2 linked regions of the Arabidopsis thaliana genome follow. Each later gene encodes a partner of the first gene's protein in a complex. Each region holds a gene or a part of one and is shown on either strand. Other genes may lie near its edges. A codon is read from its position in the direction of its gene.

What was found. The genes of interacting proteins can lie anywhere in the genome.
Region 2: the proteins of PIL2 (region 1) and PHYB are in contact, whole or in part, in a cryo-EM structure (PDB 9JLB), measured with the Arabidopsis thaliana proteins. Residues at the interface, in NP_001078329.1 of Arabidopsis thaliana: Leu12 (codon at 2,743), Ser13 (codon at 2,740), Asp14 (codon at 2,737), Gln15 (codon at 2,734), Glu16 (codon at 2,731), Tyr17 (codon at 2,728), Met18 (codon at 2,725), Glu19 (codon at 2,722), Leu20 (codon at 2,719), Val21 (codon at 2,716), Phe22 (codon at 2,713), Ile27 (codon at 2,698), Ala29 (codon at 2,692), Gln32 (codon at 2,683), Arg33 (codon at 2,680), Gln41 (codon at 2,656), Arg42 (codon at 2,653), Ile46 (codon at 2,641), Leu49 (codon at 2,632), Tyr50 (codon at 2,629), Ala52 (codon at 2,623), Glu53 (codon at 2,620), Tyr54 (codon at 2,617), Asn55 (codon at 2,614), Phe58 (codon at 2,605), Met59 (codon at 2,602); in NP_179469.1 of Arabidopsis thaliana: Tyr61 (codon at 2,011), Glu98 (codon at 2,122), Ile101 (codon at 2,131), Thr102 (codon at 2,134), Leu105 (codon at 2,143), Gln109 (codon at 2,155), Arg110 (codon at 2,158), Glu125 (codon at 2,203), Ser170 (codon at 2,338), Ile173 (codon at 2,347), Leu174 (codon at 2,350), Arg177 (codon at 2,359), Ala181 (codon at 2,371), Arg182 (codon at 2,374), Glu183 (codon at 2,377), Ile184 (codon at 2,380), Thr185 (codon at 2,383), Leu186 (codon at 2,386), Leu187 (codon at 2,389), Asn188 (codon at 2,392), His206 (codon at 2,446), Arg207 (codon at 2,449), Ile208 (codon at 2,452), Asp209 (codon at 2,455), Gly211 (codon at 2,461), Ala311 (codon at 2,761), Phe314 (codon at 2,770), Lys317 (codon at 2,779), Gln318 (codon at 2,782), Asn319 (codon at 2,785).

The regions. Positions count from the first base shown.
Region 1 is NC_003074.8:22,987,771-22,992,885, forward strand, and holds PIL2 (phytochrome interacting factor 3-like 2), read right to left. Parts: upstream 2,940-5,115; 5' UTR 2,777-2,939; coding exon 2,291-2,776; exon of another isoform or gene 2,208-2,290; coding exon 2,100-2,207; intron 2,022-2,099; coding exon 1,956-2,021; intron 1,854-1,955; coding exon 1,788-1,853; intron 1,715-1,787; exon of another isoform or gene 1,693-1,714; coding exon 1,327-1,692; 3' UTR 777-1,326; downstream 1-776. Other genes in the region: AT3G62080 (SNF7 family protein), read left to right, coding at 20-188, 291-420, 509-747. UniProt on the Arabidopsis thaliana protein: Transcription factor.
Region 2 is NC_003071.7:8,138,249-8,145,041, forward strand, and holds PHYB (phytochrome B), read left to right. Parts: upstream 1-1,514; 5' UTR 1,515-1,830; coding exon 1,831-3,994; intron 3,995-4,082; coding exon 4,083-4,890; intron 4,891-4,980; coding exon 4,981-5,271; coding exon of another isoform or gene 5,272-5,401; exon of another isoform or gene 5,402-5,647; coding exon 5,648-5,903; 3' UTR 5,904-6,213; downstream 6,214-6,793. Other genes in the region: XTH21 (xyloglucan endotransglucosylase/hydrolase 21), read left to right, coding at 6,699-6,793. UniProt on the Arabidopsis thaliana protein: Regulatory photoreceptor which exists in two forms that are reversibly interconvertible by light: the Pr form that absorbs maximally in the red region of the spectrum and the Pfr form that absorbs maximally in the far-red region.

The DNA.
Region 1 (5,115 bases):
GTTCTTTTCCCTTTTGTAGGTCAAAGAAATCAGCGCTGGCATCTCTAAAGTCTGGACACAGGAAAGTTGCTCTAAGGCATGCAAGGGAATTGAAGGTGGTGACTGAGAGCAGAGAAAAATGCACGTCACTTCTGAACAGAGTAGAAGAAGTGTTGAACACTATAGCGGATTCCGAATCTACGAAAATGGTACTTCAAACACTGAGAAACCCCATAGGTCGAACGACCATGTTTGGGTCTATGTAATAGTATCAATTATGGATTTTAGAAGTATCTATGTGTGTTTGGCAGGTCTCAGAAGCAATTAAAACTGGAGCTAGGGTTATGAAGGACATCAAGATCAGTGCAGATGATGTTCATGACTATCTAGAAGAACTTGAGGAAACTATTGAATCACAGAAGCAAGTCGAAAAAGCTCTCGGTAAGTGGTGTTTTGTCGTTTAAACATACATACACGATTACTTCATCAACTTTTGTGTTTAGCTAGATTTTTTCTGTTAATGCGGCAGAATCAGCTCCATATCCAGATATTGATGATGAAGATATCGAAGAAGAATTACTGGAACTAGAGATGGACCTTGAAAGTGAAAGTTCTCAGGTCCTACCAGCGACTTCAGATACTGCAGATTCACTGACTGAGATGTTCTCAGAGCTTAAACTTGGCAAGACGAAACAAACATTGGAAGAGCAAGCTACTGAGCCAGCTCAGATGAAAGATAGCGGAAAAAAGATTCTTGAAGCAGCATAGCTGAACAATGCATCTTCATTGCGGTGCGATCTCTTCTCTTCCTGTTGTTCTTAGTGAAGAAATACACTCAGTATCATATAAATAGAATAGAACCGGGTAAAGTGAGTTGAGTATTTGTATGCTATGCCTCTTGTTTGGATTCTAGAAACAATAGCTTCACTCCATTGTATAAAGTCAGCAGCTTGTTTCATAAACAGAGAGGAACGTCGAGTTATGATTTTTATCACTCCGATAGTGTTCGATAATTTATTAATGTTTCTAACATGCAGTCTTATTCATTCGAAGGAAACTAGTACTCGTGATTATTATTGTTATTATTATAGCTCCTTTCCTATATCTATATGTTACATGAACTAGAAAAGCCGGCACTAAAAAAGAGAACCTTGAGGAGATCCTTCCATGGTAGTTGTTCTGATGTCGTTGTAGTGCTTTTGTGGATCTGTATGGTTCACCTTGAGATGGCTCTAGTGTTCTCACGACTAACTCATGAAGAAGAAGACCGTGAATCCGCAGGTAACAATCATCACTGTTTACTTCATCTGCTCACGGGTTTCCAGATTTTTACCAGGGAGAATTCCTTCATCTGTTAGTTTTCCTTGATTTCTTGTGTAAGGTTGCACCATCTAAATTTGACAAAGAGTTGGGATTTGGTATTTGGTTAGGGAAAGCAGCGCACGATGGAGGGACAGATTGTGGGGAACAATTTTCCGTTGGAATGAAAGGTGCAGAGTTTTGCATTGGCATTAGTCCAGGATGGTTAAGAAACCTTAGCATATCTGCTGAATCATTAATCCCAGGCAAGCCAGCTCCTAGAACATGTGCAGGCAGAAACTGTTGTTCGCCCATTTGCATTCCCACACCCATTGCTAGACCCATCTGAGAGTAGTTCGGCCCCAAAGGCATCATCATTGATGGTGTAACAAATCTGTTACCCATCGTCATCATCTACCATCCAACATTTATACAGGTTAGGACAAAGAATCTTTAGATTGAATCTGTTTTTGATGTGAAAAAGTGTTTGAAGTATTTGTTTATTATACCTGAACTTGAAGTTGAAGGTTTGTCATATAATTGATTGCTTCATCCAACATCGATTCGTTGTCGTCCTATGGACAATATTGAGTATTTAGGGAAATGTAAGTATAGACTCTTTAAAAAGCTTTTGATCTCTTTCGAAATAAATGAAAAAGTTGGTTCTTATGATAAACCTTGTGAGAGTTAGGTAGTAGATTTTGCAAAGTACGCATTTTCTTGTTGATATCATTTCTTTGATTCTGTGTTGCACAATACCATTATACCGTTGTATCAGATTCAGTGTTCACTATGCTTTGTATCTTAAAGAGATTACTTACTCTCTCAGGTGAATTATACGCTTCTGCATTTCGTTTTCTTTTGACCAAAGCTTTTCTTGTTCTTGCAGGAACTTGTGGCCTCGCATCATCTGACTCGTCATCTAGACTCTGCGTTGAGACAAAACCTGTCTTCAGACAAGAACCTAACAAGATAGACCAAACCAAAAAAATTGTGAATCAATCCCTCTTACACTGCTTAGATACATCGATCCTTCACTGTCTTCAGTGAAACCTACGGAGGAAGTGTCAAAGCCCAATTTGAACGACCTATCAGCAACCACGGATTGCTCATCAGGAGGTATAAACTTGATCTTCTTTCGGTTATGATAATCAACCATCATCCTCTTTGATGAAGAAGCTTTCAAAGTCTCAGAATCGTCAACATGTTTATTGCTTTCCAACATGTTTGTTTCATGGGCAGCAGCAACATGACTTTGTGGAACAACCTGCGTGTCCCCGAGATTTGTGATGGCACCACCACCACCATGGATGATACTCTTCATGAAATCCTCGTTATACTCTGCCTCATACAAATCCATGATCGATTTGGTACGTTGATTATGCAGAGAAACGTTGGATCTTTGGCCCTTTGCAAGAATCTGGCCATTCTCAAACACAAGCTCCATATACTCTTGATCGCTTAACCTGCAACAATAATCGGTTGGTAAGAACATCATCGTCTGCACACAAACACACACATATATATATATATATATATATATATATATATATGTGTGTGAAACAGGGAAACAAGATTGAAGAACTTAATTTGGTCTGAAGGTGGATGATGGGGAAGTCATATTTTGTTGTCTTGTTGAATGTTCCAAAAGTTATTTCTTCAGTGGAAGTAAGTGAAAGCTAATCTTTCTTTTGTTGATCAACTTCAGACTCTTTTGCTCTTATTTTATATTTCGCTTTTCTTTCCTTTTCATTTTTTTGGTATTATTATCTCTTTCACCTGTTTTTAATTATTTTTTCAGGTGCAATGAATTTCCTGTTGTACAGTACCACTGTTTATATAAGTCGAATCTTAGCATCTTTGAGATTTTTTTTTTGATACTTTATTGTGCCTTTATAAATTATAAAAAGATTATTTAAATGCAAGGGATGTCGTTTCCAAAAACGAAATCACATAAAATACAAATAGAAAGGACTTAAAAATATAATAATAGACATCCGTCAGAATATCAGATTGCCACAACATAGACAAATATCTTTTGTAAACATCAGTGAAACAACAAATCTCTGTTTCACAAACCGATAGTACGACAAAAAAAAAAGTGTTGGGGAGGAGAGAGAGAGAGAACGGGCCAAAAAGCCCACGTGGTTGTGGGAAGAACATTCACAGTACAAGAACAATAAGGAATGGGCTGGGCCCACAAAAAATATTGATAGGACCTACAAGGTGTTTGGCAGCATTCTCTTGAAAGGAAAAAGTAGACCAAACAATGGAAGAAGTAAAAAAAGCAGAGCGTGAAGTTCACGTGAAAGCCACGTGATTCAATGTACCTTTGTGTTTTTTTTTTTGGGGGTACCCGTATGCAGTGTATTAGACACTTGTCCTCACTACTCTTCCATAACAAATGACTCACTCATGCATCCTTTTATTTTATTTTATTTTTCTATTCTATAATATTTGGTGTCCGACCAATAATATAACTTAGCCGGTTACACCAAATGATTCAGAAAAATAGTTTTCAATGTTTTGATATTTACAAGTAGGGATCTCTAGCTATTATACTATTTCAGGGTAACATTGTCGTTTGAAATATTAAACCAAGTAAAATAACATTGCACAGTAAAACATTTTGATCTAACATATTACATATACAAATACAAATTTATTGGGCCAAGAGGTTATAAGGCTTTAACCTTGTCATCACGAAAAAAGGAAAGAGATAGAGCCTAAAACTATGCATCGGCACAAGGGCAAATCAAATGTCATTTGGAAGGGAAATGACGTCATATAGAATCTTAAAAGAGAACATAATGTCACACACCCACACGTATCATTATCATGTTTTAAGATTCGGTAATTATTATTATTAAAGACAAAAAAAAAACAAATCAATCACGGGGTTAGCGCGTAATCTAACCCAAATTATTGAAATAAAATATAGTATCAATAGGTCTATTCTAAAAGGCACGAACGAAACCTCAAATAGTAGTAACACGCACGTATCTTGCTTTATCGAGTTTTCATGCATTCATATTCATTAATGTATTAAGCTTCAGCAAACTTACATTTATATATTAAATACATGAAAAGAACATCACTAATACCTCACAAGATTGCCCTCCTAGTCCTAGACTACTTTAGACTTTAGAGACCATATCTAAATCTTCCTCTATTTTGTAAACTTTGGATTTGATTCAAGAAAACATGTTTTCACTCCGTTTTAAGGGGCAATCGATACTATACATAACCTTTTTTTTGCAGCTAGTCACTGTAGACACAACTTTTCTAAATAGAGTCATAGATGAAAATCCAATAAGTATTCTTTCTAAAACTTAATTACACATTATTGGGACTTTTAAAGTTTATGGACCTCAACATTATAATTTTTGATTAAATGACTTAAATTAAAGTAGACATAAAACTAACAAATATCAACTATATTTCGAAGTTAGTGATACTTTTCCCATAAATAGTATACACTGACTTTTTTCGTAAAACATGTTAAATATATACATTCAATCATATATATATTTATCATACTAACAGAAGAAATCTACATTATTGTAAAGGACTGGGAGAAATAATTTTCTAAGAACAAGAGCAACACATATTTCTTTATGATGAAATGAAATCACTCGTAAAGAAACGGGAGTAGCTTTGAAGTCATTTATCACTTGTACGTCAAACAGAAGATTAGAAGGTGAATCACTGCATTTTATGGTTTGGTTTATGATAAAGACGGTTTTTTAATTTTTAAACCGCTATGTTTTTTGTTGGTTGGTTTCGAAGCCAAAAATATATCAGAGTGGTGGTCAAAAACCTCTAATTTTGAAGATA
Region 2 (6,793 bases), on another chromosome or scaffold:
GATTTATTAGTATGGGAGGGCTTAGTTTTGGGCTTTAAAGTATGCCCCAATGCCTAATAATGTCTAGCTAGTTCTTCGTTATACTAAAGAACGAATTTTGGAAATTCTTGAATTACGATTGTACCCTTATATTAATTTCATCTTTTGTCTTATTCTTATTTATGCAAAAGTTATGCAAAAGTTTTAAGAAATTAGCAGCCAAGCCTAAAGAATCATTGAGAGTTTATAAGGGTGATTTGGTAATTGAGTAGTTTATTAGCTAATTTGATTTCAGTGGCACGTGGTAAATTACTGGTGGTTTAAAACTATTGTACGTGGACGATTCTTAGCCAACGAACTAGTACACTCTAGTGCGAACAGGTACATGATTAAATTCGTGGACATCCAATCATATCTCGTCCAAGATAAGACCAAAACATATGAGGTCATTACTCACTAATAAACATTTAAACTTTTGTTTTGTCAACGAATAGTGTGTTTTTCTTTTGTCATTCCAATTTTTTTCTGTTTTCTTTTCACTATTCACTTTTGGTCCATAATATTTTATGGGTATATAAGATAATCGTTTTTGTCTTCATACATGGTAACATGGATGTTTATATATGTAATAGTGTTAAAAAGAAAAAGTGGTCGGTTATACTTAACTTATTATGATAGAGCTTTGAAAACAAACAACACGAGATGGAGAAATTAGTCATTCAACAAAAGAAAAGGACGAACGCAGTGACTTAACATGAAACTGTGAGCGGCCCAAAATCATTTATGTAATGGACCCTTAACTTTTCATGCACACGATTTTTCTCATTTATATGTTTTTCTGCTCTCTTTTTTTCCTCTTTATCATTACTTTAATTTATTTTATGTTCTTTTTTCGAAGCACCATAATTGTATGCTTTCACCAAATAATCCAAATTTAGAATCATTAATATGTCAAAAAAGAATTGCATATATTCAATAAAACGTAATGCTAAGTAGTACAATGCATGTATTATACAAAATGTAATGATATAGATCCAACGTATATATCAAAGTGGACCAAAATATATCTTATGTATTAGACGAGTTTACTATGCAAAATTTATGATTCTATTCCGCATGGAGCGTGCTAATACTACTTCGAACCCCTTTGAGACCAATATGTGATTCTATATTCTATCTAGTACAAATTATGAGAAGTATATACGTACGATGAGAGTATAAAACATTTCAATATTTGTATAGAGAGGACACCACTTGGTTGACTTGACCCACGATAAGATATTGAAGAAACCAAACTTGTATAGTACGAATTCGAAATCGTAATTGATGATGCGATTCGACAAGTCCAGGGGCTCCCTCCCACGCGCAATGGGCCCAGCAACCACGTGTGGCCACTAGAGAGAATAAACCATTAGCCCACGTGATCTTGGGCCCAATCAATCTCTCCCTCACATTAAACGACAAAACAAAAGCTCTTCTGGGTTAAATTGATAAATATCAAAACTTTAAAGGTAATTTGCTAAAATCGCCACACAAAAAAAGTCGCAGAAAATATATGAGGAAACAAAAAGCGAAGACGACAAAAAAAAAAAAAACTCTGATTTTTTTTTGTTATCTCTCTCTATCTGAGAGGCACACATTTTGCTTCGTCTTCTTCAATTTATTTTATTGGTTTCTCCACTTATCTCCGATCTCAATTCTCCCCATTTTCTTCTTCCTCAAGTTCAAAATTCTTGAGAATTTAGCTCTACCAGAATTCGTCTCCGATAACTAGTGGATGATGATTCACCCTAAATCCTTCCTTGTCTCAAGGTAATTCTGAGAAATTTCTCAAATTCAAAATCAAACGGCATGGTTTCCGGAGTCGGGGGTAGTGGCGGTGGCCGTGGCGGTGGCCGTGGCGGAGAAGAAGAACCGTCGTCAAGTCACACTCCTAATAACCGAAGAGGAGGAGAACAAGCTCAATCGTCGGGAACGAAATCTCTCAGACCAAGAAGCAACACTGAATCAATGAGCAAAGCAATTCAACAGTACACCGTCGACGCAAGACTCCACGCCGTTTTCGAACAATCCGGCGAATCAGGGAAATCATTCGACTACTCACAATCACTCAAAACGACGACGTACGGTTCCTCTGTACCTGAGCAACAGATCACAGCTTATCTCTCTCGAATCCAGCGAGGTGGTTACATTCAGCCTTTCGGATGTATGATCGCCGTCGATGAATCCAGTTTCCGGATCATCGGTTACAGTGAAAACGCCAGAGAAATGTTAGGGATTATGCCTCAATCTGTTCCTACTCTTGAGAAACCTGAGATTCTAGCTATGGGAACTGATGTGAGATCTTTGTTCACTTCTTCGAGCTCGATTCTACTCGAGCGTGCTTTCGTTGCTCGAGAGATTACCTTGTTAAATCCGGTTTGGATCCATTCCAAGAATACTGGTAAACCGTTTTACGCCATTCTTCATAGGATTGATGTTGGTGTTGTTATTGATTTAGAGCCAGCTAGAACTGAAGATCCTGCGCTTTCTATTGCTGGTGCTGTTCAATCGCAGAAACTCGCGGTTCGTGCGATTTCTCAGTTACAGGCTCTTCCTGGTGGAGATATTAAGCTTTTGTGTGACACTGTCGTGGAAAGTGTGAGGGACTTGACTGGTTATGATCGTGTTATGGTTTATAAGTTTCATGAAGATGAGCATGGAGAAGTTGTAGCTGAGAGTAAACGAGATGATTTAGAGCCTTATATTGGACTGCATTATCCTGCTACTGATATTCCTCAAGCGTCAAGGTTCTTGTTTAAGCAGAACCGTGTCCGAATGATAGTAGATTGCAATGCCACACCTGTTCTTGTGGTCCAGGACGATAGGCTAACTCAGTCTATGTGCTTGGTTGGTTCTACTCTTAGGGCTCCTCATGGTTGTCACTCTCAGTATATGGCTAACATGGGATCTATTGCGTCTTTAGCAATGGCGGTTATAATCAATGGAAATGAAGATGATGGGAGCAATGTAGCTAGTGGAAGAAGCTCGATGAGGCTTTGGGGTTTGGTTGTTTGCCATCACACTTCTTCTCGCTGCATACCGTTTCCGCTAAGGTATGCTTGTGAGTTTTTGATGCAGGCTTTCGGTTTACAGTTAAACATGGAATTGCAGTTAGCTTTGCAAATGTCAGAGAAACGCGTTTTGAGAACGCAGACACTGTTATGTGATATGCTTCTGCGTGACTCGCCTGCTGGAATTGTTACACAGAGTCCCAGTATCATGGACTTAGTGAAATGTGACGGTGCAGCATTTCTTTACCACGGGAAGTATTACCCGTTGGGTGTTGCTCCTAGTGAAGTTCAGATAAAAGATGTTGTGGAGTGGTTGCTTGCGAATCATGCGGATTCAACCGGATTAAGCACTGATAGTTTAGGCGATGCGGGGTATCCCGGTGCAGCTGCGTTAGGGGATGCTGTGTGCGGTATGGCAGTTGCATATATCACAAAAAGAGACTTTCTTTTTTGGTTTCGATCTCACACTGCGAAAGAAATCAAATGGGGAGGCGCTAAGCATCATCCGGAGGATAAAGATGATGGGCAACGAATGCATCCTCGTTCGTCCTTTCAGGCTTTTCTTGAAGTTGTTAAGAGCCGGAGTCAGCCATGGGAAACTGCGGAAATGGATGCGATTCACTCGCTCCAGCTTATTCTGAGAGACTCTTTTAAAGAATCTGAGGCGGCTATGAACTCTAAAGTTGTGGATGGTGTGGTTCAGCCATGTAGGGATATGGCGGGGGAACAGGGGATTGATGAGTTAGGTGCAGTTGCAAGAGAGATGGTTAGGCTCATTGAGACTGCAACTGTTCCTATATTCGCTGTGGATGCCGGAGGCTGCATCAATGGATGGAACGCTAAGATTGCAGAGTTGACAGGTCTCTCAGTTGAAGAAGCTATGGGGAAGTCTCTGGTTTCTGATTTAATATACAAAGAGAATGAAGCAACTGTCAATAAGCTTCTTTCTCGTGCTTTGAGAGGTATATTCAGTTCTTCAGCTATGTTGTATCTGCGGTGTATATACCAATTCGCGGGTATTTGATTATTTTGTTGCATTTGGCAATGCAGGGGACGAGGAAAAGAATGTGGAGGTTAAGCTGAAAACTTTCAGCCCCGAACTACAAGGGAAAGCAGTTTTTGTGGTTGTGAATGCTTGTTCCAGCAAGGACTACTTGAACAACATTGTCGGCGTTTGTTTTGTTGGACAAGACGTTACTAGTCAGAAAATCGTAATGGATAAGTTCATCAACATACAAGGAGATTACAAGGCTATTGTACATAGCCCAAACCCTCTAATCCCGCCAATTTTTGCTGCTGACGAGAACACGTGCTGCCTGGAATGGAACATGGCGATGGAAAAGCTTACGGGTTGGTCTCGCAGTGAAGTGATTGGGAAAATGATTGTCGGGGAAGTGTTTGGGAGCTGTTGCATGCTAAAGGGTCCTGATGCTTTAACCAAGTTCATGATTGTATTGCATAATGCGATTGGTGGCCAAGATACGGATAAGTTCCCTTTCCCATTCTTTGACCGCAATGGGAAGTTTGTTCAGGCTCTATTGACTGCAAACAAGCGGGTTAGCCTCGAGGGAAAGGTTATTGGGGCTTTCTGTTTCTTGCAAATCCCGAGCCCTGAGCTGCAGCAAGCTTTAGCAGTCCAACGGAGGCAGGACACAGAGTGTTTCACGAAGGCAAAAGAGTTGGCTTATATTTGTCAGGTGATAAAGAATCCTTTGAGCGGTATGCGTTTCGCAAACTCATTGTTGGAGGCCACAGACTTGAACGAGGACCAGAAGCAGTTACTTGAAACAAGTGTTTCTTGCGAGAAACAGATCTCAAGGATCGTCGGGGACATGGATCTTGAAAGCATTGAAGACGGGTGAGTATAGTTAGAATTTATCTAGAAGCTAGTTTTGCTTACTTCACAAAATGTGACCAAATCCCAAATTTTGTTTTTTTCATTGATCAGTTCATTTGTGCTAAAGAGGGAAGAGTTTTTCCTTGGAAGTGTCATAAACGCGATTGTAAGTCAAGCGATGTTCTTATTAAGGGACAGAGGTCTTCAGCTGATCCGTGACATTCCCGAAGAGATCAAATCAATAGAGGTTTTTGGAGACCAGATAAGGATTCAACAGCTCCTGGCTGAGTTTCTGCTGAGTATAATCCGGTATGCACCATCTCAAGAGTGGGTGGAGATCCATTTAAGCCAACTTTCAAAGCAAATGGCTGATGGATTCGCCGCCATCCGCACAGAATTCAGGTACATTTCATTGTTCCCGCTGTTGTCTCCACATATCCATAACCAAAATTATGCAATCCGGTTTTTTTGGTTCCTTATTTTGTACATAAAGAAAATGAATTTGGTTTGGTTAATTACGAATTTGATTTAGGCGTTTAAAGAATTTGAGGTTTTAACCAATTCACTATTTGTTTTGGTTATTGTTTAGTTGGAACCTAGATTAGTTTGATTTTTGTATTCGGTTTAGTCGACTTGGGAACTTTTAGACACATCCATAGGCCTAGAATTAGCAGTCAAGGAATGTAATGTTTTCAAATTGATGAAAACCAGCTCAAAAGTGTAAAACTTGGGTTTCATGTGTTGGTGTCTTTGTTATGTCTTTATTCGTTGTTTGCAGAATGGCGTGTCCAGGTGAAGGTCTGCCTCCAGAGCTAGTCCGAGACATGTTCCATAGCAGCAGGTGGACAAGCCCTGAAGGTTTAGGTCTAAGCGTATGTCGAAAGATTTTAAAGCTAATGAACGGTGAGGTTCAATACATCCGAGAATCAGAACGGTCCTATTTCCTCATCATTCTGGAACTCCCTGTACCTCGAAAGCGACCATTGTCAACTGCTAGTGGAAGTGGTGACATGATGCTGATGATGCCATATTAGTCACACTTCAGTTGGTATGAGAGTTTGTATCATTGTATGAGTGTTTGTGTGTCTAACGACGTCGGAGGAGGATAGAAAGTTTTTTTTTTGTTTCCGGTGAGATTAGTAGAGAAGAGGGAGATTATTTGCGTTCAGCTCAGCTCGCCGGAAAAAAAACGTAACAGTAGTTGTAGAGAATTTCAAGACTTTTGTTTGTGCTGTGTAAATTGACAACTCCGAGAGAAACAAAACAATGAGATAAGAAGAGAGCATATTAATCGATGACCAATCCTTTTAATTTGTTACTCGTTACATCAATTCAAAATTATTATTTGATTGTTAACCATTTATAAATCATATTATATCCAATTAGTCTGTCTACGCAATCAAGAGGTAAAGGCCAATCACATTAATTTTAAAAGATTTATGATGAAATGGTACCGTCCAAAAAGTTGAAATTTTACAAACTCCACTATATATATAAAAAGTGAGATGTTTAAATTAGGCTGGCTAAGCTTAGGATGTAACACATTAACAATAGTTAATTTAATGTTTATGATGTATCGCACTATAGTTTTGATGTGTATGCTCTCCAGGCTGTTTCGTTTTTCACATTACCCACACTAAACTCACCTTTTTTCTTAAAGAAAATTAAAGTAAAGCTCAAAGACTGAAATATTAACAATATATAACTAATCATTAAGGAATCAAAACTCCATTATATATGCTCTATAAATACTCACCAATCAATAGCCTTCTAAATGTCTCAAACCCAATTCAAACCCTTAAACCCACCTAAAACCTTCAAAACTTATAATGGTTTCTAGTACACTTTTGGTTATGTCAATATCTCTCTTTCTTGGTTTAAGCATATTGCTTGTTGTACACGGTAAAGATTTCAACCAAGACAT